4 linked regions of the Drosophila melanogaster genome follow. The protein of the gene in region 1 interacts with the protein of each later gene in a pairwise test. Each region holds a gene or a part of one and is shown in the gene's direction. Other genes may lie near its edges. The genes, in order: Hey, btsz, TwdlM and CG30160.

What was found.
Region 2: the proteins of Hey (region 1) and btsz interact in a two-hybrid assay, tested with the Drosophila melanogaster proteins (one large-scale study listed by BioGRID).
Region 3: the proteins of Hey (region 1) and TwdlM interact in a two-hybrid assay, tested with the Drosophila melanogaster proteins (one large-scale study listed by BioGRID).
Region 4: the proteins of Hey (region 1) and CG30160 interact in a two-hybrid assay, tested with the Drosophila melanogaster proteins (one large-scale study listed by BioGRID).

The regions. Positions count from the first base shown.
Region 1 is NT_033778.4:7,992,538-8,001,229, reverse strand, and holds Hey (Hairy/E(spl)-related with YRPW motif), read left to right. Parts: upstream 1-2,951; 5' UTR 2,952-3,137; coding exon 3,138-3,397; intron 3,398-3,810; coding exon 3,811-4,025; intron 4,026-4,766; coding exon 4,767-5,569; 3' UTR 5,570-5,792; downstream 5,793-8,692. Other genes in the region: CG11191 (uncharacterized protein), read left to right, coding at 1-349; Dic3 (dicarboxylate carrier 3), read left to right, coding at 6,303-6,715, 6,886-7,336. UniProt on the Drosophila melanogaster protein: Transcriptional repressor which acts as a downstream effector of Notch signaling.
Region 2 is NT_033777.3:14,849,702-14,858,083, reverse strand, and holds the start of btsz (bitesize), read left to right. Parts: upstream 1-4,164; 5' UTR 4,165-4,611; intron 4,612-8,382.
Region 3 is NT_033777.3:26,616,014-26,623,143, forward strand, and holds TwdlM (TweedleM), read left to right. Parts: upstream 1-3,104; 5' UTR 3,105-3,153; coding exon 3,154-3,168; intron 3,169-3,245; coding exon 3,246-4,097; 3' UTR 4,098-4,211; downstream 4,212-7,130. Other genes in the region: TwdlP (TweedleP), read right to left, coding at 4,649-5,311; TwdlB (TweedleB), read right to left, coding at 6,555-7,130.
Region 4 is NT_033778.4:7,001,998-7,008,920, forward strand, and holds CG30160 (uncharacterized protein), read left to right. Parts: upstream 1-3,159; 5' UTR 3,160-3,220; coding exon 3,221-3,472; intron 3,473-3,536; coding exon 3,537-3,701; intron 3,702-3,773; coding exon 3,774-4,025; 3' UTR 4,026-4,139; downstream 4,140-6,923. Other genes in the region: Tsp42Ea (tetraspanin 42Ea), read left to right, coding at 968-1,159, 1,223-1,384, 1,451-1,645, 1,908-1,979; Tsp42Ec (tetraspanin 42Ec), read left to right, coding at 4,576-4,635, 5,729-5,920, 5,984-6,430.

The DNA.
Region 1 (8,692 bases):
CCGCTACCATCCCTGCAGTATCAGCCTGGGCTCCAAGCTGGAGGGCAACTACCACAGCGTGGTGATCATGGAGCCACCGCACGACGACTTCCCCATTGTTAAGTGGGACATCAACGGGAACTCCCTGGACGACGACGCCTGCGATCGCTGGGATGACTTCGAAGCCAGGTGGCGGCAGGCGGCGGCGGCCACCAGATCCCTCTCCCAGTCGCAAAAGTCCAGCCACCAGTCCAGCTCCTGCACCCTGGAGACCTGGGTGGACGACACGGAGCCCCTCAGCCTGGAGCTGCACCGACACGACAATGCAGTAGGCGGAAACAACTGCAATCTTTGCCTTAGGAGCTTCTGAGACCGGAAACGGACACTCGGCGGCTTTGTAACCTCCACTTTGCGTCCAGCGATAGAGCACGAAAACCAGTCTTGTGAGAATTACCTACATACGAGTATATTATACATATATGTAATCGAGTATTTGAGTCGGTAGACCGCAATTTTCATTATAGAAAGTTGTTTTCGAGAATATCCATTAACAATAAAGTGTGTATGTGTGTGCGGCGCCATACCTTTGGCTCCATACCTTGAGTAATGCACTTCAGAATGCGAATACGAATGCGAATGCCCTGTGCCCCGTGGGTGGGAGTAAGTTCATCGCCCACCCATCCATCCATCGATCCATTCCGGCGCACGACCCGCACGTGTGCTGGACGCTCGTGAGAATCCGTAGACCTTTGGCTTTCCCACGAGCCACGGCTGCGATTTCGTGGGTTCGTCCCGTTGTCGGTGGTGCAACTTGCCCGCCACTATTCATCCACTTGATTTGGGGTGGGTTCCGGCGATTCGGAGCGAGTTTGTCCCACGCTGGCACTGCCACTGGCATTGGCCATTAGACATTAGGCATTTTCACTTTGCTGCTTGCCGCACTCGAAACCTGAGCGACAGCATGCCGAATCAAATGAAAAGCACTTTTTATAATTTTCGATTTTGATGTACGTTTTTGAAATTGATACGGGGCTCCATTATAGTCAAGCTTACGCCTCGACCATCGAAATTAATCGAGAAAATGGGAGAAATGCTACACTAAATCATTTTGTGGGGGAGAATAACTAATGATATTTCCAGTTATATGCGAAATTGCAACATATAATAGTAAAGGGATATAAAAGTATATACAATAGTATAGGGATTCATATAGCAATATTGGGATTCTTTAGGGTGACAGGACAAAGGAGTTGAAATGAACATTTTAACATAGATATCTACAGAAGAATTATTTTTGCATAACGATAATTCAAGTATAGTTTTTATTAGGGAAAGTTATGTCAAACCACAACGTACATATATATGTAAATATATCAGCTCCACCGTATACTGTTTTTCATTCGCATTTTAATTGTTTTTAATCTACTGCTAGCTTTAAACACACATTCCGTGCGGCTGATATAAGAAATAATGGGAAATTTTGGATGAAATAGTTTATCATAATAAAATTTATAGGTAATATTGACATTGATCAGCTTGTTATATTGAATTTATGAACACAATACTGTCAAAATATATTACATTAAAGTTAATGGGGAAACATTAACCAAAACAGACAGAACGTTAATTTCGATGTTAACTATCTCAGCTTGTAAAATCATTAGAAAAACTGACAAATTTTGGTGGAATAGCGATCAAAGCTGTCAAAAAAAATAGTGAAATCAAAAATATCAAAACATTTTTCAAAAGTTTTAGATTGACAGCTTGTGGCCATTAGACTGGGAGTGGCCAAAATATTTTTAAAAAATATGACAATTTTGCAAAAGTATGGACGTGGCAGTTTTAGCCGGTTTGTGTCCTTAAGAGTAGGCGTTGCAATCTTCTGTAACAATCTAGCTCTTAATCCTAGTAACTAGTTTTACATTCATGCTTTTATAGTTCCCGAGAGCTCAGCGTTCATACAATTACAAGGAACAATTAAGGAAGTTATAAGATTAGCCAATTCAGCAAAAAATTTAGAATGGATTAAATCATGTGAATATTCGAAATGCAGTGACAAAGCGCATCTAAGAGTTTATAATGGCAAATCAAAAAGATAAAGAAAAAGATAAAGCTCACGTCTGCTTTTTCGTAAAATTGTACAACATATTTACGTTTTACCGTCGCCATCCAAGTTCCTTATATCCCTTTGTGATGAAACGCTGCTTTCGATAACATTAAAGTGAATTATTTCCGCATTAGCATATTTCTAGGTAAACAAGTCGATTTTACCTCGGGCAATTTCTAGGTCAACTTCGGTCACCTGCTGCCGCAGTCGTTGTTATCTCGTCTCCTGCTCCTGCTTCTGCACCTGTGGATGTTCCCGTTCCCATTCCGGACCCGGGATGCCGCAACCTTGAGCCGGCACTGACCTAGAACTGTGTGGGCCACCCACCAGCACGCGTCCCACTGCACAGATAGAGGTCAACGGCGGCTGTTGCACTTGTTGGGGCTTTACCCGGCGCCACGCGATGCCACACGACCGGCGCGTGCTCCAGTTTGAGTTCCATGGACGGGTGCAGCCGCTCCAGCGGCAAACAAGTGGACGGCGGACGCCGCCAGTTTGTCGCCCACGGCGCCGATTAAAGGCCGTGCTGCAGATGCTTTAGATGCTTTAGATGCTTTAGAGGCTGCTGAAAGGCTATATCAGATGGTCGGGCGATACAATCGGATGAATCGATGACAGAGGCTTGCTCATTTGCCGGCGCTGGTCGCTCCTTGTCGCACACTCTCACTTGCTCACTTGGCGGCGATCGCCGCGCGGCGAATATGTTTGCTTCCCGTTTCCTACCCCAATCTCGGCAAGCACGCGCTGCGCGTTGCCAGGGGGTGGTTGCTGCTGCATCTTATTGGACGGCTGCCGCAGGCGGTAAAAAGGGGTTGAGCGGCGGCAGCGGAGGGCAGGTCGTCCGCTCGACGTGTGCTACAGAATCAGTCGAACGCCGTTCGCGCACACGATAAGTCACGTGCTCAAACTAGCTCCGCCAGCCCGGTCTAGCCGCCAACTGCATCTGCCTCTGCAACTAGCAGCACGCAAAGCTACAGCTCAGCAACAGCAACATCAACACAGTAGTGTCAAGTGCGCAGGAGCAGCGAGTAAACACTGGTCACCACACACAATGGATCACAACATGCACGTCAATGCGCCATCGCTGCATCACTGGGGCTACGCCGCCGGACCCGGCGTGGTCATGCCCGGCGCCACCGCCACCACACCCCAGAGCCACTGGGTGCCGCCGCCGCAGAGCCACCACAGCGCCCACAGCAACCACAGCCACGGGCATAGCCAGGGCCATAGCCACGGCATCGGCAGCCTGAAGCGGACGCTTTCCGAGAGCGACTGCGACGATCTCTACTCCGAGGAGTCCTCCAAGGAACAGTGCGTACTCGTGACTTCTTATCAAAATTTGTTTTTCAATTTAGTGCACAAAAAGCTATTCGCAGTTCCCAAGTTAGGAGTTGTCTTGTAAAATGAAACCTTTGAAAATACCATGCGATGTGCAAACGTTTTATGTTGCTAAAAAAAATAGTGCGTCATGATATTTACTTAGTGAATCGAAGTCATGGATAACTCCACTTAACGCAAAGTTGCTGATAAACCATCAAAATATAAATCACTAAACTATAGGGTTTTAAGAAAAGATAGATTTTAAAATGTTCTGTAACTTAGAGGTTTTTTTAGTAACACCATAGAGTGTTTTTCAGTCTATGAAAGATTAAGATATTAAGATTAAGAATCTATCATTAACTTCAATCCATAGCTAATAGAAACCCTTTCCTCTGTTCCATTAGAATCTCGCCCAGTGAGCCGGGCAGCTGCCAACTGATGAGCCGCAAGAAGCGACGCGGAGTGATCGAGAAGAAGCGGCGGGATCGGATCAACTCCTCGCTCACCGAACTCAAGCGCCTGGTGCCCTCCGCCTACGAGAAGCAGGGATCCGCCAAGCTGGAGAAGGCCGAAATCCTTCAGCTGACCGTGGAGCATCTCAAGAGTCTGCAGTCTAAAAGTAAGTTTACCAAGCCCACTTGAGCTAGCTTAAAGAGGTTTTAAAAAGCAAATAGGCTAGCTGCACCACAGACCTCCTCACTGAAGTTAAACGCTTCTATGGGTCATTAATCACAATAGGAGCAAATAGAGGGTTAACTTGGGCAGCCAACTAAGTTGGTTAACTAAAAGAAGTAAAGTGTAAAGAAAGTAATTTCTTATTTCGACAGTTAATATTACATTAGGGCCCATTTAGCGCACTAATTAATCAAGGCATATCTGACATACATATGAACTTCAATACATTATAAAAAATTGGAATGGGAAAAACTGCAAGCAGAATCCCTAAACGCAAGCCGCTGTGGGAAACAATTGAGTAACGATATTAAATACAATATGCGGCAAATTATCACAAATCTGGGTAAACAATCCTGACCTGTTGTCCCGAACAGGGTCGAATTGTGGGAAAATTATGATTGCCGTAGGCAAAGCAGGACCACCACCACCAGCGCCAGCCTAGCGCTCAAGTGAATCTCGAATCTCGGGGCTTCCCACGCTCAGTAGCGGCACCACCACGATGGCAACCTTGTAGCCAGGCGCGGGCTTTCACCCCCCGATAGCCACCTCACAACAAGCCATCCCGCCGAAGGACATGGGGGTTGTTCTTTATGCTCGTCGCGTGGGAACAGCTATTTTAATTGTTTGCCTGAACTGGGATTAGACAGCTTATTGACTTTCTCCACCTCCTCGTATCTTGTTGCAGCTCTCGACTCGCTTAGCTATGATCCGCAGCGAGTGGCCATGGACTACCATATCATTGGGTTCCGCGAGTGCGCCGCAGAGGTGGCCCGCTATTTGGTCACCATCGAGGGCATGGACATTCAGGATCCTCTGCGCCTGCGCCTTATGTCCCACCTCCAGTACTTTGTGCAGCAGCGCGAACTGTCGGCCAAGAGCTGCGCCAGTCCGGGTGGCTGGTCTCCGGCTGCTCCCAGCTCCTCCGGCTATCAGCCAAACTGTGCGGCTGCTCCCTACCAGAGCTATGCGGCGCCAGCCAACCCGGGTGCCTATGTGTCCAGCTACCCCACACTAAGTGCCTCGCCCTCTCAGCAGGCTCAGCAACTGGGAGGACGCACCAGTGTCTCGCGGACAAGTGGAAGTGCCGTAACTGAATCGCTGCCCAGCCATGATCTCCACTCTGACAGCAGCAGCCAACAGCAGCAGCAACAGCAGCAGCAACAGCAGCAGCAGCAGCAACACCAACAGCAGCAGCATCAGCAGCAACAGCAACGGACGCAGACAACACCTCAGCCGACGCAGCAGCAACACTATACCCACGACCACAGCGCAGTGCATTCCGAGCAGCAGGTTCCCACCTACATAGAGCTGACCAACAGCAATCGTCCAGCGGCCATAGGTTCCGATAGCCTTAGCTATAGTGCTGCTCCTCAGTATCCGGTCAGCGGACTGCCAGGCCAGGACTACAACAACTCCAGTGTGCTGCAGTACGCCACTCCCAACGGAGCAAAGCCCTATCGTCCTTGGGGCGCCGAGATGGCCTATTGATTGTGGGCATAAGCCTCAGAAGGGATATTTCAACCTCTAGTCAGAGCAGACCAAGTGTGATAGTCTTAAGTTTCGCATCCTACACAGAGAGAAAAAAATGGAGAAACAACGCAGTGAGATTAGCTAGTCCCGTAAGCCTTTAAGCTTAAGTTATACCCTATGATAACTATAACTTTGAACACTTTGTGAATCTATTGTAAATAAACGCATGAGTGTATAAGTGAATATGTTGAAACTCGCTTGATAATTGATATTCGGATCAGGAAAGCCTTTCTAGTTGTTATATTTCGTGAAATCTCGACGTTCATACAGACGGACAGACGGACATGGCCAGATTGAATCAGGTATTGATTCCGATCAAAAATATATATATAATATATAATATATAAGAATATATATAATCCACGAGTAACGGGTATAATTATTAAAAACAATCAAAAAAGTTTAAACAAGTAGTGACGATCCACATTCAAAAATTTGAGGTATATCAATGACGCATACTTTGATTAGTGCTATTATTGGATTATCAGAGAAAATATTAATTTTAACGAACATTCTTGAGGTGCGCTTTGTCACTGCGAGGACTACCAGTTCGCCGTCATAGCGGCTGAATTATCCTTAGCTAAATGGGAACAATTCGTTGCAGCGAAAAATTTACCGAATTCTTTTTAGTTTTACACGTCAGATAGCTTAGGGTTTCTAAAAAAAAATTCCAAGAAATTAAGTTCGGTCTATGGGAGAAGACAGTTCGAGGCGCCTCCCGCGCTGGTGGTTTGGAGGGGTTTGCGCTGCAATCGCAGTCACCGGCACCCATCCGATTGATCTCATCAAGGTACAGCTGCAGACCCAATCCCAAGCGGACCGGAAGACCGTGGGGGAGATCCTTAAAGGCATACACGAGCGGAGCGGAATCTTGGGCTTTTACAATGGCATTTCGGCCTCCTGGTTTCGCCAGCTGACCTATACCACCACTCGCTTCGCCTTGTACGAGGCCGGTAAGGACTACGTCGACACGCAAAAAGTTAGTTCCAAGATGGCCCTGGCCACCTTTGCGGGAATCGTCGGTGGGATTGTGGGTGTACCCGGGGACGTGGTCACAGTGCGACTCCAGAACGACGTCAAGTTGCCGGAGGAGAAGCGACGTAAGTGAGTACTACCGGGGGCTCCTGTACCATAGATCTCCCAGACTTTGTCCATCTGTTCGTTTGTCTTCATCTCCACGTGCTTTTTTGGTTTGCTATTGATAATTAGTCATTAGGACAGCAAATTTCTTCCCCCCATACGTACGAGTCATATAATTAAGACGAATTCCGCAGCTACAAGCACGTTTTCGACGGCCTTTTCCGCATCTACAAAGAGGAGGGCGTGTCCAGTCTCTTCCGCGGCACAGTGCCGGCCGTTTCCAGGGCAGTCCTGCTGACCATCGGAACGAATGCAGCCTACGACCAAGTAAAGCAGATGCTCAAGATCGCAACGGGGGCAGGAGAGGGAGTACCACTGCACTTTGCCACATCCACGATAGCTGGATGCATTGCCGTGGTGATAACGCAGCCGCTCGATGTGATCAAGACGACTTTCATGAACGCCCAGCCGGGGGAGTTCTCCGGGATCGGAGGTGCTTTTCTGAGTACCGCCAAACAGGGCCCATTGGCCTTCTACAAGGGATTCATTCCGGCCCTGATACGAGTGTCACCCAATACGATTATCACCTTCGTTTTGTACGAGCAGGCGCGAATGCGATTTGGATATCTGCCACCTGACAAGTAGGGATGCCCCAAAATTCGTATCCATTTGGCATTTTTACATAAATTGTATTTTATACACGTGATTTGAAAATATAGAATCTTTCATACCAGACCATTGAATCGGAAGTAATCCGGGTCTAATCAGCAGCCACTGTGCTCATTAGCATCGCTGGACCAACGAGAACCGCTGACCGCTGACCATCGACCACCGACCACTAGCCGCTGGTCAGCGAGCTCTGGGGGTCAATGAATGCCGCTCACGGTTTATGAAATTTGCATACCCAGCAATAATAAACACATGAGCACCCAATCCGCGGCGGTTAGCTAAGCCGGCTGCACACTCGCTGCACTCGTAATTAGGGAGCGGGGTTAGCAAGGTGCAGGGGTCGCAACCCCGAACACCACGAGGAACGGGAAATTATCGAGGAAAACTGGAAAGCTGGCGACCGCAGGATCTTGTCCCTGCTCCAGAAACATAATCCCCAAAAGGGAAACAGTGTCACAAAGGTAGCAGGGTTAAAATATTTTAATATACGCTGGCATATTAGTTTAGTTTAGGGTGCTTTCGTAGGCCAAATGTGTTTCTAGAGGGACTGGTGGCTACCTAAGCTGCTCAACATGTTCCCGAAAAAAGGGTTTCTGTTTTGGTTCCAATGGTAAACTAACGAGCAAAACGTTCTAATGACCCAGAAATTAGATGAAAAGCGGTTAAAAACAATGCAATGCAAAATGAAACAATTGTTAGGAATGCTAGTCTAGAAACCTTTACTTAATTCTAAGTTAATTTCCTCAATTCGCATGCTTAAGAATTGAAATATTTATCGCAAATCCCGAGCTCATAGTTTAATTTAATTCAACACACTTTAGCTACTTGTAATTTGTTCTCTTGGCCCACAAAAATCACTTGAAACCAAAATTACAATTACATTGAAACCCAGCAACCGAAATTGCTGTCCATGGAGTGTGGGAACATTGCGAAACACCACCCCTGGCAATAAAAAACGAGAAACAATCTTTTGCGCATTAATTTCTTTTTGCCGGTTAAACACATATAAGTGATTCGGGCGACCTACCACGTTCGCGACCATGTGAGAGACCCCTGAGCTTTGACTTCCCACGCGGCGAGCAGCGCAACCACCACCCACCAGCGATTACAATATGCCCCAGACAGGGGTGGTTCGTCCTGGCCCAGAGATCGGCGTCAACACCATCGCCTTCGACGTAATACACACGTCAAAACTTCCAATTAGAGACAATCATTCGGATCTGGGACAGGGAACTTGTGATACCGAACCGGGGTGGTTTCATCGGTGACTACAAAAGCCATCGAGCTGGTCGGACGGATTTCATTCTTTGGATTACCAGCAGAGCAACAGGA
Region 2 (8,382 bases), on another chromosome or scaffold:
TCGCCGGGGGAGCATTCACTGTACTTAACGGCATCCCTTTCCGCGGGGTAAGAATCTCTCCATTCAGCTAAGTTCCCCCATCTGCATTTCAATTTCTTGGGGCATACTCTCGTCCTCGTACTGGCTGGTGTATTTCGTGACCCTGGCTGGATTGTTTGTTGTTCTAGTTCCAGAGCTTTTCCACCCGCTTTTAATGCGTCGTTCGCCGAAAAGGGAACAGGTGGGGCAAGGTCGGGAAGGTGGGCGATGGGTGGTGGATGGGATCCGAGTTTTATGCTGCATTGGCATTCAAATAACTGGAAAGTGTTTTCATTGTCACGCCGACGCTGCCGCAAAATGGAAAGCATTTTATTGTCCTCTTTTCTTCTGGTGCGACATTCGTTGACAGTACTCGTACACGTTTTCGCTTTTAGACAATTATTTTTAAGGCCTACGAATCGATACAATGAGTTCAGTTTACCATGACGACATTGCCAGACCTTAAGCCTTGACACTGCTCAGTTTCTTGGCCGTGTTTCAAACAACTCTGAAATGTGGGAAAATTTATTGATGACAACAAAATTTATTTTCCTGGCCATACAAATTTCCTATAAAATCATTAATTTTGGTAAACAATCGAACGATATATTTCGCATTCTTTAAATTGAATTTCCTCTGAAAACGAATTAATTTTTTGCGAAACAATGTTGATGGGACGCCAGCTTTCCTGGTGCATAATTAATTATTTTTATGATATATTACGTAATGCAATCACAGCAAAAAGGCATTAAAAATTTATGAGGGTCATTAATGAGTCGACGTGCTTTGGCAACTTATATTGAGTACTTGCTCCTTTTGGCCAACTTAGTACACTTTAATGACGGTTTTGTTGCGGCCATCATATAAACATATAAGCGGTTCCATTGGCCTTGCCGGCTCAAGTAATCTAAACACATAAATCCCTTCCGCCGGCAACAAAGTTGGCGCCCTCCCCATTCGATTCCTTTCGTTGGTTGGCCTGGCTCATTTGGCGGGTGTTGCGCCTTACAGTCGCCTCTGATTGCTTAATCATGTTGGCCACTGTTGGGGCGGAAATAGCTAAATTGAAAAGCGCCATTGGAGATTGGCAGCGGGCGCAAGGCGAAAGGAAGTGCCTGTCGCCCAGCAGGTCACATGTGGCAGGTCCTGCGATGTCCTTTATGCCTTCAACCCGTGGGTGGACATCGATCCAGTTGGGGCAGCAATTGATGAAAGCATTCCCATTAAGCCAACTAAGTCCACCGTTCTATAGAAATGTAAAATGCCAAATGTCAAAGGGGCTGTAGTAGCCCCACACCTAAAGTTTGGATTATGCAAAAAAACCTCATTATGTGACCGTTTATTCTGCACTTATTACCATCGTATATATACATTATATTTAATAATATACTAGGAAATACTTGTACTTGTAATGAGACAATGAACGAACTTGTAATATTGTGCTACTACAGATTTATGGAAATTACAACTTTAATTTAATTGAAGGTTTAACTGGTTAAGTTATCCTTGGTGCCTTTACATCTTTGCTATAAGAACTATATATAAAACCATTTTAACATTAAGCATATTATTATACATAGCTTTTAATTTCGGGAAGTCTGGAAATCCCAGACTAAGAATTCCTCTTTAAGATACATTTATTGTGAAATTTAAATGCAGTGGCCCCAAGATGGCAGCATCAGCACACTTACTTCATTTCCGCTAACAAACACACTTGCACAGTGAGCAAATACTGGCACGAATACTGGCACAAATGAAGGAACGGAATGGGGGACCGGGGAATACACATTCATCTAGCTAATAACACTGATAATGTTGGTAATACTTGTTGAGTAAATTAAATCTAATGGAGCGCTCGTTCATCATTCGCCGGCAGAGGGAACTTAATTAAATGTTTTGTTGGCCGCATTCGAAACGCTCCGATATTCGACGCGAAAGCTGCACAGAAGTTCTTCTGAATGTTTTTACATATTCGTTTAAGAATAAAATACTTTCTGTAGCTTACATTGCTTTAAAAGCTATTTTTTTAGATGTCATTAATTAAAGTGCATTTCATTGCATAAAATGTACACTCATTATTTCTGCCATTGAAATAAAATCTAGACTGTGATAAAACTTAATCTGATAACAGTGATTAAACCTATCTCAAGGAAAGCAGGTCAGCAAAAAGTTATCTCACCGCAAAAAGTGTTCAGTCTAAAGCACGATAAAAAAAATCATCTCTGCATTGCTGAATATATACACCATTACTTTAATGTGCTTTAATAAATGCAAAACACTCCCATTTTTTTATGTGTATAGTGACAGAGCTCCACGGCCGAGGGCCCAACTACTTTGACTTGTTGCGCCGCAGAATTTCTGGATTTTCGCCTTTTGCCGTTGCTTAGCCTTGGCTTTATGCTTCGCGTTCTGGCCTTAGCATTTGGCTTGATAATGTCGTTGATTACTTTTAATTATAATCTTGCTGCTAGGCTACGCCAGCGAATCGCTGCTCATCTGGCGGGCGAACTTCCACTTCCCGGTGATGGCCATCAAAAAGTGAACTGAAAACTTTGGCTCAGTCAGCGAAAGAGGCCTGTGAAAGCCCTCAGTTACCATGGCTGGCATCGCTGTATACTTTTATTACACCTGGCTTTATGGGTTTGGTCATCAGCCGACTTAATTGGCCGCTTAACGCCCACTCATCGCCTGGGATCGACTCATTAGGTGACACCGAGTCCATTGACCGGCTCGAAGGAGCAAGAACTGCGTTGGATTCTGTGGCAGCGGCTTTGATTACACATCACCTGACACGGGTGTCCTGGAGCACCTGCAATTTAGATGTAAATTGAGGTGGGGTGCCAGGGGCAATTCTACTTGTAATTAACGCCACATATGCCAGATGTTTTGTAACGCAAACAATGGCCCTGGGGCCAGTAGGCATTCCCAAAGCGCATGGCCAGCATTAATTAAATATACTCTTAAAATGCTATTCAACAACTATGATATTTGTCAGTGCCGCATGTCAACTATTAGTGGCCATTGTTATGGTTGTAACTGCACTCCAAATTCCACTGCACTCGGGGGCATGTGAAAATGTTTGCTGCACGAATTCACACGTTTGTGGACGGGAAAGAGTGAAATCGCACTCATATGTAGGCGGATATTGGACACTCTGCGAATGAAAACCGGAGAAGAACTTTTTGCCGACATCAAAAACTTTAATTCACTTAAAAAACTGCGAATATGAACGCAACTTTATCGCAATGCAATCCAAATATGTAGTCCGATCATTTCAAGATAATTTATGGCATGCCAAAAGGTTTTAAATATCAAATAGCTTAAGGATATTAGACATAGCACGCAATGTTTACGATAAGTAATATCTTCAGTAATTTAATTTAATAACAAACGAAAGCAAATAGTTTTGCTATCATTTTGTGGGTACATGTTTGCCTATTAATATTATAAACTCAATTATGCATACAAACAAGAAGTTTAAATGGCTTTGCTTTGACATATTTTTGCACTAATAGGCTTATCTACAGAGAATCATTGAATGTATTTTATGTGCTCAAATTTGTTCATTTCTTTCTAGCTGACTGATATGATAAGGAATTTAAGACAATATATTTCATTGGAACCTAAAAAAGTTCCACCACTTAAGTATATGACATGATAGCTTTTGAATTCACCTTAAGACCTAACTAATTTTGAAAATCAAAAGTTCAGCTTCTCCCGAATTTACTTTACTTTATTAGCGCATATACCCTTGCAGGGATCAAATTGCCGACGGGCAGTGTATAAATATGCACCTAAATGCATCCAGTTTGGGAAGTAAGTGCAATTCACGCGAATCCGGGCATCAAAAACCGAGGGAGAGTGAGAACGAGAACAATGCGCTTTTCCGAGTGGCTTTCTCATACGTAATTAAACTGATAGCGGGCGACGTCGCCGTCGAGCATTCGGCCTAATGATAATGCGAGAAGGGCGCCTCAGGTAGCAATATCTGAGTATCTGAGTAGCCGAGTATCTCAGTATCTCGGTTTCTGACCATCAGAGAGAGGGAGAGAGAGAGGGAGAAAGAGCCGCTTTCAACCTGTTGCTTTCAACCGCTGGCCGCGTTTCAATCTCAAATCCCACCGATCGACTTGGCAAACTGACTTTAGTCAACGAACGCGTCTCGAACCGAGCGAACGTCGTCGTTCCGTTCCGCTGTTGAAACATAAGATACATGTGTGCGTGTGTATCTGTGAGTGCGATGAGATTGCCGGTTTAAGATTTGTGTGATTTCATTCCGTCTACCTGTGCCTCCGAAGTGCTCCTCTTTGTGTGTCTTTTATTCGGTCTGATATCAGAATTATATACACACCAATACCAAACGTATGTATCTCGAAGATACCGCACGCAGCGACTGTAATCGCCATCGAACGGCGGTGTATGCAAAGTAGCAGCAACGAAAGCAACGAACCCAGCGAACTCCGAAAACGAATTGGATAATTTCTAAGCCAAACAACGCAGAATTTGGCGGATCTCCAAAGTTTGCACAAGCCATTTCTACGAACACAAGCGGTCAGGCGGCACTGGATACAAAAGTATCTCGCAACCACTAAGGTAAAGAATATAATAATCAAAGAACAAATTTAATCTGGGCTTAAGAAAGTTCTGTTCGAGCTATGGGTATTTACAAACGTCTACATACTCATATCTTTATATGGTTATATGGTTCAATCATGGCAGAACAATTGAACCAAATATAAGTGATCCCTTTGGAATCATAGACTTTGGTTCTCAGGAACGCGAAGTTTTTCTGATTTAATCCGTTATCTCCTGGACTTTGATATAAAAGTGTGTATATTTTCTTTAAACTGCACACATCAACATGGGTAGAAGCTTTCTCTCTTTGGTTATACAAGCGATTGTAATTGCTTTCTTCACAGCTTAAAGATGGGGCTTGCACAGGAGGAATCCGCAACCGGGCTCTGATTATTTTAACGGTTTATAAATTTAATTAAGCTGCGGAGTCAAAGAACAAAGAATCAGCGTCACCGCAAAGGTACAAGATACTTAACTGTCTCCTTGTTTTTTCCCCGGACATTTCGACCCGTCGTTTCTGTTTTTATATCTGTAGCTGTAAGAGTATATGTACTATATATGTGTCTCTTGAGGGGCACATTGTGAACACACAGCTCACGCGTGTGTGGATGCACCCACTCCGCCCGAGGAACTTGTATCTTGCAGATACTTTTCTGTTTTCTGCTTTATTTTTCCCCAACCAGCCCTCGTCTGGTCTTGTTGTTTACCTTTTCTTGCTGCAAGCTCAGCTTAATTCTTATGCACGTCTGAGACTTTTTGATGTTTGCATAGCAGCCGCCGTGACATCGCCGAAGATTCCCCACCATTACCATTACCAAGTTCAATTTACGTTTGGAACTGGAGCTCGATTCGCAACGCGACCATGGCGATGCGGGAATTACGAGTTTGAGGAGCAATAACATTTGCTTTCAACTCGGGCCTGGCATGACTAATTCACCGCAGCAACAATGACAAATAGGACAGGTATCTGTTGGATACAGCAGTGTATCTTGTAGGTGTGAAGTGATTTGAGGGCGTTCTCGAACAATAGTCGTCAATGTTGTCAATAGAAAAGAGACTATGTAACACTTGCCCTCTGAATATCGCACAAAATAGATGCATTTCAAAAGTTCCGCTTTATTTCTCATACCTTAAAAGTAATATTTATAAAGCGACACGGGGGGATGCAATGGCTTAGAAAACCATTAAAGTGTTAATCAGAAGCTTAATATTTAATTGTCAAAATTCCATGACCCTCAATTCAATAAAGACACACCTATTTATAAAAAGTATCCAAGTAAATCTGAGGGCGTTCTCAAACAAAAGTCTTCAAGCTTGTCAATGATGTGGACTGAAAAGATTTCCCTAAGCGTGACAGACAAAGGCACGTATTAATCATATTCCACAGATACTTTAAATGCTGGTTTAAAACCACAAAGCAAAATGATTGGATACGAAACGTACTCAACGCGCCTAATCATATGATTTCACAGTGTTACTTCATAGCAACAAAAAAAAGCAACTAAAGATATACATATGTAATTTAATAATTTAATTTAATTTGGCCTATGGTAAATATTTGTTCTAATTTCCGTCCTATGATGAGGTGAAAAACGTGTTTCCGAGAGGTTTTTAAAATACCTATTCATTTAAATAAACAAACCATCCATATGTGATAAAGATACTTAAGATAAGTGGTTCAGCACGTACTAAAGTATCTTGTAGGTGTGAAGAGGGTGTGTTTAGCTCGTAAAAGATCGTGTTGAGCAAAGCGAACTGAAAAGAGATTATTATACTATCATTAATCATAATACCAACAAATTTCCTTATATATTTACACCATTTGATTTAAATAATACATTTTTAATGCAACGAAAAGGTGTTTAAGGCCCATTCCAAACACCTAACACTACAAATAAAGTCTCGTTTAAATCTAATGGCACTTTATCCTAAAAATACATGTAGTTGCATTAGGTATTCCTCCCACACTCCAATCGCATTAGCTGATTTCAAGAGACACGTTTAACAAGAACTTGAGTCACCTGTGTGGAAAAGTTGCCCTCACTAAGTAAGACGTATGTATCTCGCATTTCTGTCTGTCGGCAGCCAGATGAGTTTAATTAGCACTTTGCGGCATGGCCATAATAAATTTCAAAAATTCTTGACTTTCGACTTGACACTGATTTTTTTTTTTTTCAGAATGCTAATGGTTTTTTCACATGCTAGTTGTGGAATAAACGTACATATAACGTACATTTACTTTTGTCTTCTGCTCGGCGATAAGGTTGAAATGAGCTAAGTTGCGAGCGCTTATCAGATGCGCCGTACAATTAAAGCACACTTGCTGAACTTATTTATGTGCCCAAGATCCAAATATTTGGGCATTATGTCATGTGTATGCCGTGGAATTGTGGATAAGGAGCTTGACAGTTTTCCAGATAAGTTGCGGTGCATTGACCAGGGAGCTGTGAACCCTGGCCGCTGCACGAGGTAATTGGAGATTTTCCATCAACTCTGACTTTGGGCCACCTTTTGGGGGGGCCACGCCTCTTCCCTCATTAATCATTCATAAATATTCATTCCAAGCTACGCCCCCTTTCGTCGGTCCGAAAAACATTTATCATTATCATTTCGCCAGCTTCCTTAATTTTCCATCTTGTTTGCTTGTCGGCCTTTTTCTATTTCCGCTGCAAACATGGAATATCTTTTAGAAGTTCGGCTGAGCATTTTTCCAGCCGCAGAAACTTATTATAATTTATGCAAAAAACGGTGACAGTTATTGAGTTTAATAACGATATTTTTCTTTCTCTCCGCTCTTCGATGTATTTGCATTTTTATCGAAATGAAAACAGCTGCCACAACAGAGTAAGTTAGCTTTATGTGAGACATTTCTTGGCTTGGCTTTGGGTTGGGCTTTTGGCCGGTTAGATGTCTGGCCAGTGATAAACCCACATCAGAATAAGCTGGTCGCGAAAACAGTAATCAAGCTAAATCCAAATCGGGTTAACTGTCTTTTAACGAGTGTCATCAAAAGTGAACCCAAGTGAAGATGCCTCGCAAGATAAACTTATGAAAGTAAGGGCATAGAACGTGGTTAAAGGTTCATCGAATACCCTTGACTAGCTACTGACTTTAATTTCAAAGCGAGATTGGCCACGATTCGTTCATTATAATCCGACAGATCCGATGGTGCAATTATCTCATAGACATGCCAGAATAATTATAGGCAAATTAACGCTCTGGCTTTGGTCACAGAACCCAAATTGGTCAAATCACATTAAGCAGCGCAATTGAGCCGCCCGGCAGTCAAGCAAAATACACACATAATCAGAAACAAAAATCTGGCCAAAACAAGTCTGTCAATGGTTGCCGCCGACTTTGTTTTGTTTTCGCGTTTTTTGAGCTTGACAAATTCAATGGCCAAAATGGCTGTGAAACACTTTTGTGAATGTGACGGAAAAATCTGTAAACAAGCCGCAAAATGGGGCTGATTTAAACAGTCATTGATACGATTATTTAGAACAATAATAGTTTAGTTGACTTTAGTAAAAGTGTAGTTACTAGCCTAGATTTCGCACAGAAAGTTGACATATACAGCATTCTATTTAAATTTAAATATATATATATTTCATAAATTTAAAGTAACATTTTTCTGACCGCCACTGTAAGTTTTTTGTTTCTAAAAGAATTCCCACATCGAAGGCGGTCAACGGAAATGCAATTGAAAACTTTAAGAGTTTCAATGAACTTTTTAGAATAAATGAATCAGAATCATTGAAATCAGTTCAGAAAATAAGTAGCAATGTGTTG
Region 3 (7,130 bases), on another chromosome or scaffold:
GGCATAGTCGCTGCTTAATAAATTAAACGACAATTTGCACTGGGACCGTGCTGTTGCTCGTAAAGAGTCCGGGATCCTGAAAACTGGGACATTAAGCTGGCATTAGGCAGAGGCAGGCCTGCAATTAAAATAAAATGGAGAGCTCAAGCGTCGACGACAATATGCACTATAAGGCAGACAAAAATGTGTTTTTTACTGCGCAGAATGCGTACTAAGGAGACCTCGAAAATAATTTATTGCCTTCTTGTGGGTGCCAAGGATCGCGCAAAAAGCCGCAAATTTATTTGCCGCTCTTATCGCTCTATCCATGTAGAAATAAAGCATAGAGCATATTTTTTTAATATTTTCTATATTTTTTCCTATTGTTGATTTCTTATGCCATTTTCGGCTGATGTGCACAAACAGAAATCTCTTGTATGGCTAACTTTTTAATAAATAATCTCGGCCATTTAGCTGGTTGCAAGCAAAAAATACATAAACACGCAAAATAATAATCAGCATCTGTCGTCGTTGCCGTTTGATTGTCAATACAAAATATTTATATCGCTAACACAATTTGCCAAACAAATTGGCCAGCTCGGCGAAATTTGATTTGATTTATTCCTTTCAGCACTCTCGGATAGGTTTTTTAAAATATTGCGTTTTTTTAGCATAAGCTTTAGTTTAGTTTCCATGGTTTGGTTCGGGTTTTTGCGCTTGAAATAATTGATATCGGCTATTTGCATATCAGATTTAATATATTTGCATATATTTCTTTTGCAAAAGAGAAACGATTTTGCGGCAAGCCAGTCAGCTTTTTGGGTAACATTTTTTGTTTTTTATTTGTCGCCAGGCATGCGGAAATAATTTTGGCAACTAAAACTCGTATCTAGAGAAGAATAGAAACGGTCTGCTCGTAAAAGAGTTCGAAAAGCCGGCAGCTCCAAACATTTTTGCAAAAGAAAGGCTAGAAGCAAACAAACTCGTTTAACTGGGGTTTAACTGGCAAATTTGTCGTTCGTAAATAAAGCTTATGATTTAAGGAAATTACTAATGCTCCAATTTATGGTGAGGCGACAGATTTGATTGGATTTTTGCACCTGAAAGGCACCGCCCGGTTTTGACACCAGCCAGGTGATAGCCGAATAAATTAAATGCACAATTTTATTCGTTTCGACATTCTGGTGGGTGCCAGTACAATGGCAATAAAATAATATAGGGGCAGTCTTGTTGTCTCGAAGAGAGAAAGACTAAAAATAATGGATAAAATAATAAACAGTGTCAGATTTTGTAAATAGATCGATTGACCCAAAAGGCCATTTACATAAAGTGGTGCCAGAAATTCCCTCCCGTAGATGTTTTTTGTCCGCTTGAGCCGTTTTTTTTTTATTTATTTATTGATACGCCAACGTCGTCCGACCGCTATTATCTTCGATTTCGTGCTGGAAACTCTTTTCCCGCGTTTTGACCACTTTTTATGTCGCTGCTGCGTGCATCTTTTATGTGCGTGTGGCGCCCGAGACCTTGAAATTGTGGCTGGGTTGTTTTATTATGCTTACATTTGATTAGTTTGCATATGACATTGCCACCAGCGACTAACTTGGCTGAGATGCTGGCCAATCGGCGAGCCGCAACAGTTGGCAGTGGGCAAAAGGTGGGGCCGCACACAAAGCCAAGACAAATTGTTTTTGACTTTAGGTTATTGCTTCGAATGTGAATCTTAATTGGATCCCGGCCAGCGTGGAATGGGGGGCATCATATAGCATCATTAGATATAGAACCATATAGAACTTGTGTGTGTCCGTCACTGAAAATGATATCATGGTTGTGATGTCTTAGCGGATTTCCTAACTGACCCCATCTTCGAGTTACTCATCGCTATAGTTATCCGTGATATCAATCAATATATATATTAGTCATAACCGCGATTGGCATTCGCCACTATTGATTTGCAAATCGGTTCGGCTATCTTAAATATGGATCTTGGGTATTTCTCCTAAATTATGCAAATCAAATCAGTTTTCAGCGGATTTGCTGCTGCCTCTACCCCCCTTCTGCTCGAAAACTTTGCCGAAATAAAATAAAAAACCATAATTTTTATGATATCAATAAACCATGATGAAAAACGTGATAATCGCTGATCAGATTAAATGGTCGCCTGGCGCCAGCTGATTACCGCCGAATTCCGAATAGCTTCGGGTGCTGGTCAACAGTAAAAAACCTCAAGGTCGCAACGGTTGTTAGCTTTATGGCTTCTATTTTGCGAAGCCGTGTTTTTGCCACAGGTTAAATGGCCAAGCGACGAGCTCCGGACAAATGGACAGATGGGCCGTCGGATAGATGGACGGATGAATGAATGGATGCGCAAAAAGGCTGGCGAAAATTGATTTCTATCCATTTCAGATCCATTGTTTTTCAACCCTACCACAGTCCACAGTCCAGTGTTCGGGTTTTATATGGCCAAACCCTAGAGCAGCCAGTTCCATACACCATACACCATACACCATACCATACCATATACCATATACAATATTCCAAATACCAAAGGGGGACGCAATAATCGCTGGGGATTCCCAGCTAGAAATATGCGGCTGGATCAACTAAAAAGTGTAGAAAAACCGAGTCGTTTTCGAACTCGTTTGGATGCTCCGCTAAATGTTTTAGCATACAAAATATGAAGAAAATCATTTCATTTACTGAAAGCATGACCATTTATAGTAGTGGCTTTTGCTAAACGAGTTTTCAGCCGTTTCCTCCGCCGAGAGCCTGCTCTATTGGATTACAACTTGACGGGTAGGGTCGTGTGCCTAAAAATTTTCGATGATGGTACTACGACTTGGACTGAGGGATCGTGGAATTAGCATAATGTCGACGCCAACATTTGCAAGAATAGGGCGGCCAGGTATCGATGCGCTTTGTTCACGTCGGCTTGGCCATTGTTTTATCGCACAAGCTTCGTTTTTCGAAGGTGGATAGCATTTCAAGAGACAAAAGCTGCCGAAGAAGTTACCAAAAAATGCTGCGGAGCCAACAAATACAACGATGGTAAAGTCTGCATGAACTTGAGCGCAGTTTAGTGACACCGATCGTTGGTTTTCGTATAAATATTGGACCTTTCGGTGATGCAAACGTCAGACACAACCAAGTGGTCAAAGTCAAAGAACTAAATTCAAAATGCGTGCCTTCATTGTAAGTATACGTTCGATCGCCGACGAAATACTCCAAAAGGATACCAAGGATTACAATGCTGTTTTCTTTATCTCCAGGTTATGTGCTTGGTGGCAGTCGCCTGCGCCGATAAGCTCGGCTACAACTACCAGCCCGTGGGACACTCCAGCTCCGGACTGTCCTTTGCTCCTGGAAGTGGCAGCATTGGAGGTGGCTCCATCGGAGGAGGCAGCATCGGAGGAGGCAGCATCGGAGGCGGCAGCATCGGAGGCGGCAGCATCGGAGGCGGCAGCATCGGAGGATCCATTGGTGGTGGTTCCATTGGAGCCAGCATCGGAAGCGGTGCCGGTCTGGGTGGTCTGAGCAGCATTGGTGGTGGAAGCATTGGCAGCATCGGAAGCATTGGTGGTGGTGACGCCCTCAGTGCCCCCGTCTCCTACAACGCCCCTGCCCCAACCGCCGAGCTGGAGAAGGAGTTCTTCACCTTCACCGCCAACGAGCAGGACTTCGATGAGCCCCAGCAGCTGGAGCGTGTGTCCTCTGCCCTGAACAAGGCCCTGCGCGTTGTCTTCATCAAGGGACCCGAGAACCGTGGCCTGGAGAACGCCGCCCTGGCCCTCGCCAAGCAGGCTGCCCAGCAGGAGACCGCCATCTATGTCCTGAACAAGCAGGCCGATATTGGAGATCTGGCCAACAAGCTGAACGCCATCCGCAGCAACAACAACAACAAGCCCGAGGTGCACTTCGTCAAGTACCGCACTCCCGAGGACGCTGCCAACGCCCAGCGCGCCATCCAGGGTCAGTACGACCAGCTGGGAGGATCCAGCCAGGCCCACAACGGTGGTGTTGCCCCCGTCCTGAACTTCGCTTCCGCCGCTCCAGTGCGTCAGGCCGCCGCCCAGAGCCCCGACAACTCCTACCTGCCATCTTCGGTCTTCCGTCGCGTCTAAGTCGCTCGTTTCACTCCTTTCGGAATCGAAAACGCCAGCGATTTTTGACTGATATTAAATCGTAGTTTTTGTTGACTAATGCTTAAATAAATTCAATTCTTAAATTTTAAAACCAATTTGACTTGTTGTAGTGCATTTGTAAAAACCAAAAAACTTTGCAGGCTGAGTTCATTGGGAACGAAACTTCGCAAGTTCGGATTTATTTGCAGCGAAATATTTTCTTGCAAACTTTGAAAGCGCACATAAGTAGAAGCACTTATATATTTCTTAGGAACTAGTTTATACTTTAACCATATTCAAAATTTAATACCAGTTTATGGCTGCTGAGATCTTGGGTTTTGAACAAGTATTTTTATTTCTTCTTTCTTCTTTCTTTCTGTTTTTATTCGATTATCGCTGCTATAAATAGGTATACAATTTATTTTGAAAACTGTTGCATACTTATGTTGCTTTCGTCAATTTTTAAAGGAATTAACCAAATGAAAATACAATAATTTACATAACCAAATTAGATAACTTTTATTCGAAAACAACGTTTAACAATCGATTTTCTAGTGACGCAGGCGACTCAGGATGTTGGCGGGTAGGTAGTTGCTCTGGGGCACCTGTTGAGGAGTAACGCGTGCTGGAGCAGCTCCCTGGGATGCAAAGTTGATGGCATTAGCCACGCCACCGTTGATGGACTGGCTGGAGCCGCCGAGTTGATCGTACTGCGATTGGATTGCCCGCTGGGCATTGGCAGCATCCTCAGGTGTCCTGTACTTGACGAAGTGCACCTCGGGCTTCTTGTTGGCATTCTGGCGCACGGCATTGAATTTCTGGGCCAGCTCGTTGATATCAGTCTGTTTGTGCAGCACATATATGGCAGTCTGCTGCTGGGCCGCCTGTTTAGCCAGGGCCAAAACGGCATTCTCGTAGCCACGGTTCTCCGGCGACTTGATGAAGATGACGCGAATGTTCTTCTTGACCGAGGCAAGAGCCCTCTGGAGAGCAGCCTTATCCTCGAAGTCGTCATCGTTGGCATAGAAGCTGTAGAACTCCTTGTGAACTGACGCCTGGGGAGCGGCACTATAGCTAACTGGTCCCGCCAGTGCAGGGACTGGGGATACACCACTGCCCCCAATACTGGTTGTCGCACCTTGTCCGTAATTATATCCGGACAAGCTACCGGCACTTGCCGCTGCCACAATGCTTAGAATAATGAGGGCACGCATATTGACCCGATGCCTACGAGATATTCTAGACGAATGAATAATATAGCATTCATTATCTACCTTTTATACCGCCAACGCGACGACGTTTAAAATTAGACTAGAAAATCTAGTCAATTGAGCCGTCTAGTCACTTTGGGGTCCCTCTGGCGGAACACGGCGATCATCGATCTCCGCTCACGAATCGTGACTCGCGAATGGCCAGTGGCTATTGGCCATCGGGTTTTCGGAATGCTGTTAATCTGCTAACATAATTTCGCTCTTAACACATTTAACACATTGTTGTGGGCAAAAGACAGCTTCAATCGTGCCGCCGACTGAGATGAGATTCCGAATCGAAGTCCGAGTCCGAGCTAAGATCCGATTGCGAGTCCAGTCGTTTTCCGAACTATCGTGATTCACCCATAATTGGCTTATAATTTATGCACAAATAAAAGAAAAATAACCGATCTCTTGGCTGTTTCAATCGGATTGTTTTGTTATATTTGCTTGAATATGTATACAGAACCGCTTATTTGTTAATGATTTCAACAAAAAAGTGATCGTCAGCTTAATAAAATTAATGATTAGACTTTGTTTTTATGGCTAATCAGGTTTCGATTGGGCATAAATCTTCATTGCCTTCGTATGTGGGTTGCACTTGAGATTCCTTTCTAATTGTACGTGACACACGACGGGCCTCGGAAACCAGGTCATCTAACAGTTGTTGGCATCTTCGCGACCTTGAGCTGTCGTCGGGAAAGAACCAGTTCCTCGTTGGCCGGGAGTCCGGTATTAATGCTTCCCGCTGGCCAAGTGGGTGGATCTAATCTTGTAGTCAATTAATTTGGCGGCATGCGAGTTGGCTATGTCAGATAATTAGTCCATTGATTTGTATGGAAAGTCTAGGTGAATATGATTCGACGAGGGCTTAAACTCATAAAGGAAACCTGCTCCGAACTGCCTTTCCTGATCTTGATGTCGTCAATTCGAGATATTTATAGTTTGAAGGGCACTTTTTATACTTAACCCATCCGCAAACAATCAAGCCAAACAAGGCGGACTTAATGCACCATTAGCTACTATGGCCAAGCCGCAATAAAAATCTCACTCTATAAAACACATAAGGTAGACCTTTGTTTAAATTTTCGTATTTAAATTTCAAATTTATTGGTGTAATTATGCATTAGTCAACAACGTGTAACAGGAAGAATGAGTTCTTCAGTCGAGATTTGCTTAAGTTAATGGAGTCCAAGATGTAGCCTTCCTAGAAACGCAGACGACGGAACACAGAAGTGGGCAGGTAGGCGTTGTCGGGGATCTGGGCGTTAGCCTTCTGGACGGGTCCAGCGGAGGCGAAGTTCAGGGCGGGTGCAACACCACCATCATGAGCCTGAGAGGATCCTCCCAGCTGGTCGTACTGACCCTGGATGGCGCGCTGGGCGTTGGCAGCATCCTCGGGAGTGCGGTACTTGACGAAGTGCACCTCGGGCTTGTTGTTGTTGTTGTTGCGGATGGCGTTCAGTTTCTGGGCAAGATCTCCAATATCAGCCTGCTTGTTCAGGACATAGATGGCGGTCTCCTGCTGGGCAGCCTGCTTGGCGAGGGCCAGGGCAGCGTTCTCCAGACCACGGTTCTCGGGTCCCTTGATGAAGACAACGCGCAGTCCCTTGTTTACGGATCCAGCAACACGCTCCAGTTCTTGTGGCTCATCGAAGTCCTGCTCGTTGGCGGAGTAGGTGAAGAATTCCTTCTGGAGCTCAGCAGCGGGAGCGGGGGCGTTGTAGGAGACTGGAGCGGCCAGAGCGTCGCCACCTCCTAGACCACCGAGTCCACCAAGACC
Region 4 (6,923 bases), 990 kb from region 1:
TTGCTCCCATTGTGAGACGACGAGCCAAAACTCGGAAACAACGAAATATCATCTACACACGCACATCATGGAATGGAAACACGGGGGTCGTTGGCGGTACACTTGAACTCAATTTTCCGAGGGAGGGCGATCTAGAAATGCCAGACGAATGCGAGTGGGTGGACTGGTTATTATTATAATTGTGGACCAGTGTCGAAATGTCGCTCTCTTCTGATCGGATGCGATGCTAACTATTCTGATCCCACGAACCGCTGAGCTCGGCGGCTGAGTCATGCTGCAGTTTGGCGCAATCCTACGAATTTATGAACTATAGTTTGGCTGGGGGTGGATCTAATCTAATGACTACGTCAACTGATACAATCAAAGCCAAAGTAAATATGTTTTTAATAGTTATCGTCGATGGCCAGGCGCTTTTATGCATAATCTTAATTAACGAAGCGAATCGGATTGATAAGAGATAAGCTTGTGATAGCCATGCAAATAGCCAATCTGAAACTCTATAAACGAAAATCGCCGAAGAACTGGGCAATAATAGAAAGTAGTTTTAATAATAAAGCAGGTGATTTCGCCATATCGCAAATATTGAAATGCATGTCCCTGGAAGTAGTTCCAGTTTCTCGCAGTGCATATTATTTGTCGAACAACAGGCATGAGCTTTTAACGCCTACAAGCTTTTTAATGAAACAAAAAAGCTAATGATATCCCAGCCAGCATTTATATGGATGAATATTCTTCAGGCGATTTGGTATCGCAAATCTTGTCAAATCATTTGATCAAATTAAATCATAAATAACTTAGAACTGTATTAATTTATTACATGATTAGTAAGTCCAATATAAAACGGATATGAAGTGATTGTTTTTGACCAATTTCTGTCAAAATCTGAGGGCTTGAGAATTCAAGTTTAGTTAGATTAGACAACCCTGGTTGGCTCAGGATTGATAAACTCAACATTTCCCTTCCTCAGATATGCGGCATATTGCTGATCGTATTCGGAGCTCTGCTGTTCAGCAAAGTCCGTAACATGGATGACTTCGCGGAAGCCCTGCGAACCCAGCAGGTGCCCGTAACGATGATCATCCTGGGCACCATCATCCTGCTGATTTCCTGGTTCGGCTGCTGCGGAGCCATTCGGGAATCCTACTGCATGTCCATGACGGTAGAGTACTGATCCTGCATCGTGCCATTCATCTTGCAATTCAAAATGTATTCTTTGTGGCAGTACTCGATCTTGCTGTTCGTCCTGATGATTGGCCAACTGGCTTTGGTGATCTACATGTGGGTGCAGAAGGACAAGTACCTGGAGATCATGGGCGACGTGGTCGAGAAGGCCTGGAACCATCGCACCAGTCGTTCCGACTACATGGACGCGATTCAGATCAGCGTAAGTATTTAGGGACTTCCAAGGACATGTGACCCGCCTTCAACTGACTTTCTGCCGCTCCCGCAGATGAAATGCTGCGGACGCAGTGGCTACACCGACTACGCCTACCAGGGCAAGTTCCCTCCCTCCTGCTGCAGCGACACCAACAACTGCCGCTGGGAGACCGTCTACCGGCGGGGATGCAAGGTCACCTTCGTTGAGTTCTGGGACAGGAACAGCGACATCATCAAGTATGCCGGTCTGGTCATCGCCGCCATCGAAGTAAGTTATTGTCCAGAGTAACGCAATCGAACGAAATCGATCATCGAATCTAGGTGCTTCCCCATGTGAATTTCGAAAATATGATGGATGGGTTCATGTTACCTACCTTCCATTGTGATTTCTTGGGGATAACCAAAAAGTACTAAGTAATGTAAATCATAATTCGTAGCAATGCAGTTTAGTTTGTTATTTTACCATAAGCGTTATGAGATTTACACCTACATGTATATCTTCCAATATACCATACTCTGTTTGCTTTCAGTTTGTGGGATTCGTTTTCGCCTGTTGCTTGGCGAACAGCATTCGGAACTATAGACGCCGTGCGGAATATTAATCGACAAAGGACTAAGGCCTTGCACTAATTTTAATTGAAACCGAAAGTACGAATTATGTTGCCCAATTTTACGAATATTTACCTGATACAGATGGCCATTCAAATTTGCATAATCTCAAGCGTAAGCAGCAAATGCAGCAAATCCAATGACGAATGCGTAACGATCACTTTTGTAAGATCGTTTGTTCAAAGTTACACTGAATGTGCTAATATGTTTAACTGTACAAAATAACTTATACTCCTGGAGATTGCAATAAACGGAGAAATTTATTTACAATTTACGAAAAGAGTTCAGTCTTTGTCTTAATGGGAAAGCTTACATTGTTTGCAATTCGACTTAATCCCTAAAGCACCTATTTTTCTAAATTGCCACGGGAGGATTTCGGCCATTCGCGATAACGTTTTAATCTGCAAAGTAATAAGTATAAATAGAGTTGGCCGAAACCAACAAGTACACTTTGATTACAGATCATTATCAATCATTGGCTCTATTGACATATTTCCGTAGAACTAACCTATCAGAAGACTATATTTAGTTAGTTAGCTTTTTAGGGCTCAGACGAAATCTTATCTCCATTGAGCTATTTTATCTATGAAGGGCACATAGCCGTTTTGTGAATGTCAATGGGAAATTATTCCGCCGTGGAAACCCCAATAGTTGCCAAAATCTTGTTGAAGTTAGGCTGGGAGTGCACTCGCTAAAAGGTTTATTGCTCGATTGATAGTACATAAATCTAGGCGATAAGATCGGGGACTCACGGGGAAACGGACTCCAAGCAACGTAATATGTGAGTCAGCGTGCACCGCGTACTCTTGACTGGTGATAAGGCAAGGTGTGGAGGGTGTGAATGATTCATCTTATGAACGATCTAACGCCCCCAAGATGGAATCGCACGAGGGCTAGATAAAATTCCGCCACCAGCAGTTTGCACCTACCATTCGTTGAATGAATCATTGCGCCAAGGATGTAATTTCCCAGGTTCGGACCACCACAATGATCTGGTATCTCGTGGGTGCAAAGCGATTCACCAAGTACAAGTACATGGGCATCGGAGCTTCCAGCACAAGTACATACGGAATTTTATGGCCGAGATAAGAGCGCAGCCGATAAGATGAGGACTCCGAGTAAGCTTTAATAGCCGCGTTCTGTCCGAGGGCCCATTCAGTTAGACGAACATCGTCACATCGAACGAACGGATTATCCAGCTAGCCAACGAGAAACCCGAACAGAACCCAGCACCATGAACTGTCTATCCGCGATGTTCAAGTACCTGCTGTACTTGCTCAACCTGGTGTTCGTGGCCGGTGGCATCCTGCTCATTGTGGTGGGCTCCATCATGCTCTCCACGATGGGCAACTTTACGGCCTTCGACGGAGGCGTTAACACCCAGACCATCCCGATCTGCATTATCGTCATCGGAAGTGTCACCTTCGTAGTGGCCTTCTTCGGATGCTGCGGCACCATTCGCGAGAACGCCTGCTGCACCACCATCGTAAGCACTCGGAAATCACCCACTGACCGAAATTGGATTCTAAATGACTTGGCATTCCTTTCAGTACGCCATCTGCATGCTGATTCTGTTCGGCCTGCAACTGGCCCTCTCCATCTGGATCTTCGCGGCCAACGACAAGTTCCTGTCCAGCATGGGCAAGGCAGTGGACAAGGCGTGGGATGAGAACAATGCCGCCCAGGGATACCCCATGGATGCCCTCCAGTTGGCCGTAAGTTTATCGAAATTCACCATCAGATGTCATTAGTTTTTTCCGGATATTTACGTATCTATTCCATTGCAGTTCTCTTGCTGTGGCAACACGGGATACCAACAGTATGAAACCGTGCCCAGCTCCTGCTGCGGCTACAAGGATCGCACCAAGGTGTGCGAAGCGGAGATCTACAGCCAGCGACCTGGCTGCCGGCAGGAGTTCGTCGATTTCTGGGCCTCCAATACGGACCTGATTCGATGGAGCAGTCTGATCATCGCCCTCTTCGAGCTGGGCATCTTCATCATGTCGTGCTGCCTGGCCAGCGCGATGAGGAAGCGCTAGAGCCGAAGTCAGATACAATCCTTAGACGTAGCCCAGTTCATAGCATAAATCCAACACACGAATTCCTCACTCACTCACTCACCGTAAATAAACCAGAATAGGTTAAGCCCAATGAAATATTATTGCTTATTCGCTGTCTACCTCTGGCTGCCGTCTATCTAATCAAGACAGGTTGATGTTTTTCCAAAAAGTATGTCCTTATCGGCCTGTTAGCCGAGTGCCGCGTTTCCGAGATCGAATGCCCTCAGTAGTGGTGAATCACCTCCATATGGCAATGGCTATCGATCTCCGCCCGCCGCCCAGTGCCCATTATCTATTTTTCGTTTCGGCCATGATTATGATAACAGGCACTTGCGTATCTTTCCTCCGATAGCGCCCGTGTCTGTTGGCCAATTTAAAAACAGTAGCCCATCTGGAGGAGCAGTCCAATCGAACGACAGTAAACGACGCGAGTGCGCGATAAAATCAGAGACACCGACAACTCCTTTGGATAAAACAATAGTGTTTATTTAATTCTACTAAATACAGGAGCAAACTATATACTTTCAAAATGGGTTGTCTATCGGGAATAGTCAACTTTATTTTATATATTGTCAATATCGTGTTTTTGGTAAGTGCTTGTCGGTTGAGTATCTAAGTAAAAGGAATTAATAATGTAATGAGACGTGTAACAATAGACCAAACACTACTGGGTGCAGATCCCAAATAGGTTCCAATTATGGATAACTTCATACTCTCCAATTACTTGTGTTATAATGAACTTCCAAAAAATGTCCATTAATTATGTTAATTTATTTATCAAACTGTAGATGTTTATTTATTTGCATATAAGACCTTCTAGCTGACTTCTGTCATTCATTAATCAAGTCATATGCAATAAATATTTGTGCAACAAATATCGAACATGTATTATTTAAAACAAGTGAAATGAAATTTGAAAATCCATAAATTACGCATCGGTCGCTTCCTTTCGATTGTCTTTGAGTCACAAGGTTTAACACTATTATTCATATAAATGTGCTGGCATAGATAATAATATCTATCTGTAATGCAAGTGTGGACGGACATACAGAATTTTATCAGTTGATTGACATTATCAGTGTTTTGTAATATAAGTAATGAGCCCAAAATGAGCTTCAAAGGGGGCACACATGCACACAAGTTCACATTTTAGCAAGGCTAAGTTGGAGTGAATAAAAGATCATTTAGAGAATAAACTAAGGAAATACAACAAACTATTATTTACAAATGATTTATTATTTATCCAAATAAATGTGTAGTTACTCGCAGTATTAACGCAGCTAAAAGATACATTTTTCACCTTAAGAATTATGCCAAAAACAAGATAAAGGTGATTAACGTTTGTTTTTTTTATCAGCTACGTTTTTAAACTAGCCATATCCGTCTGATTGTGAATTTCATTAATTTGTATGCAAGTATAAGACTTGATTATTCACTTTGTTAATCACTTTGTCAACTTAAAGAATCAAATGAAGAAATTTAAGTAAATCTTGGTCACCGACATCCTGAAGGCTATTTTAAAAGCTCATATCTTAGTCCAGTTTGCGGACAAGTTTTCAGTACATAGATATTCCCGGATAATTAGAAGTCCATAAAACATTCATTATAATGTGGTATGCTTATGACCATAAAACTGTTAGGCAACCAGAGATGCCTTCTAGTAATACTCCGAATACTTCCAGATCGTTGGCATCCTACTGATCGTGTTGGGCTCGATCATGCTGTCCGATCTGAGCCGCTTCGATGTCGCGGGGAGTGGGACGGACCCGAACACCATCCCCATCTGCGTCACCGTCCTGGGAGGCCTCATCTTCGTGGTGTCCTTCTTCGGGTGCTACGGCATTTTTCGGCAGAGTGTCTGCATGACCGGCGCGGTAAGTTTGCGTGAAGAGCATATCCCAAGGAATTCGAGCTAATTGAAGTTGAATGCTTTGCAGTACACCAGCATGGTTTTTGTGCTCTTTATCCTGCAACTGGTGCTTACGTGCTGGGTGTTCGTGAACCGATCTGCCTTCCTGGGCGATATGTCCAATCTGGTTAACTTGCTCTGGGACTCCCATGACTACACTGCCATGGGCGTTCTTGAGGAAACCTTCGGCTGCTGCGGTGATACGAGCTATACCAACTACAACAACATCGGCCTTTCGGTTCCCGGAACCTGCTGCGGCTACCTGGACCGCCAGGCCACATGCAACACCCCCTCGGTCTACCAGTCGAGGCCCGGCTGCAGCGCCAAGTTCGAGGAGTTCTGGAACGACAACATGGACATCATCCGCTGGTCCGGCCTCGGCCTCTGCATCTTCGACCTGGTCGTCTTCCTCATCGCCGGCGCCCTGACCAACTGCATGCGCAGCCAGAACGCAGGTCGCCAGGTGTACGCCTAAACTTGTGAGGAACAAGCCAAAGGCCAAAGGATCTACATATGTCTACTTATGTTACCATATAACAAACTGTTTTTCGAGCCGTGCCAATATTAATATATACGTCTACATTTCGCCTATTTATCAGTTACTACTTATGTTATTCTTTATACTCTTTTTGGAGCAATGCCAATATTAATATATACCGCTACAACATTTACCATTACTCGTCTTTCTTATAAGGATAAATGGGTTATTTTACCAATTATGATTTTTCTAACTGGCTTAAAACTTCTAAAGAGTATATTTGTTCATCTATGTTTTCCTACAGAATGTGCAGTATTTGAGGCATACACTTAGGCTGTTTTTTTTTTTTTTTTTTGATTGCCCTAATGTTTTCCATAAGTTGGAAAATTTTGGAGAATTGCTGTTATGTTACGCATATGTTAAGACAATAACATTGACCTGAATGTGATAACATTAAATTTCCCTTATTAACATTTGGAACATATCCAAA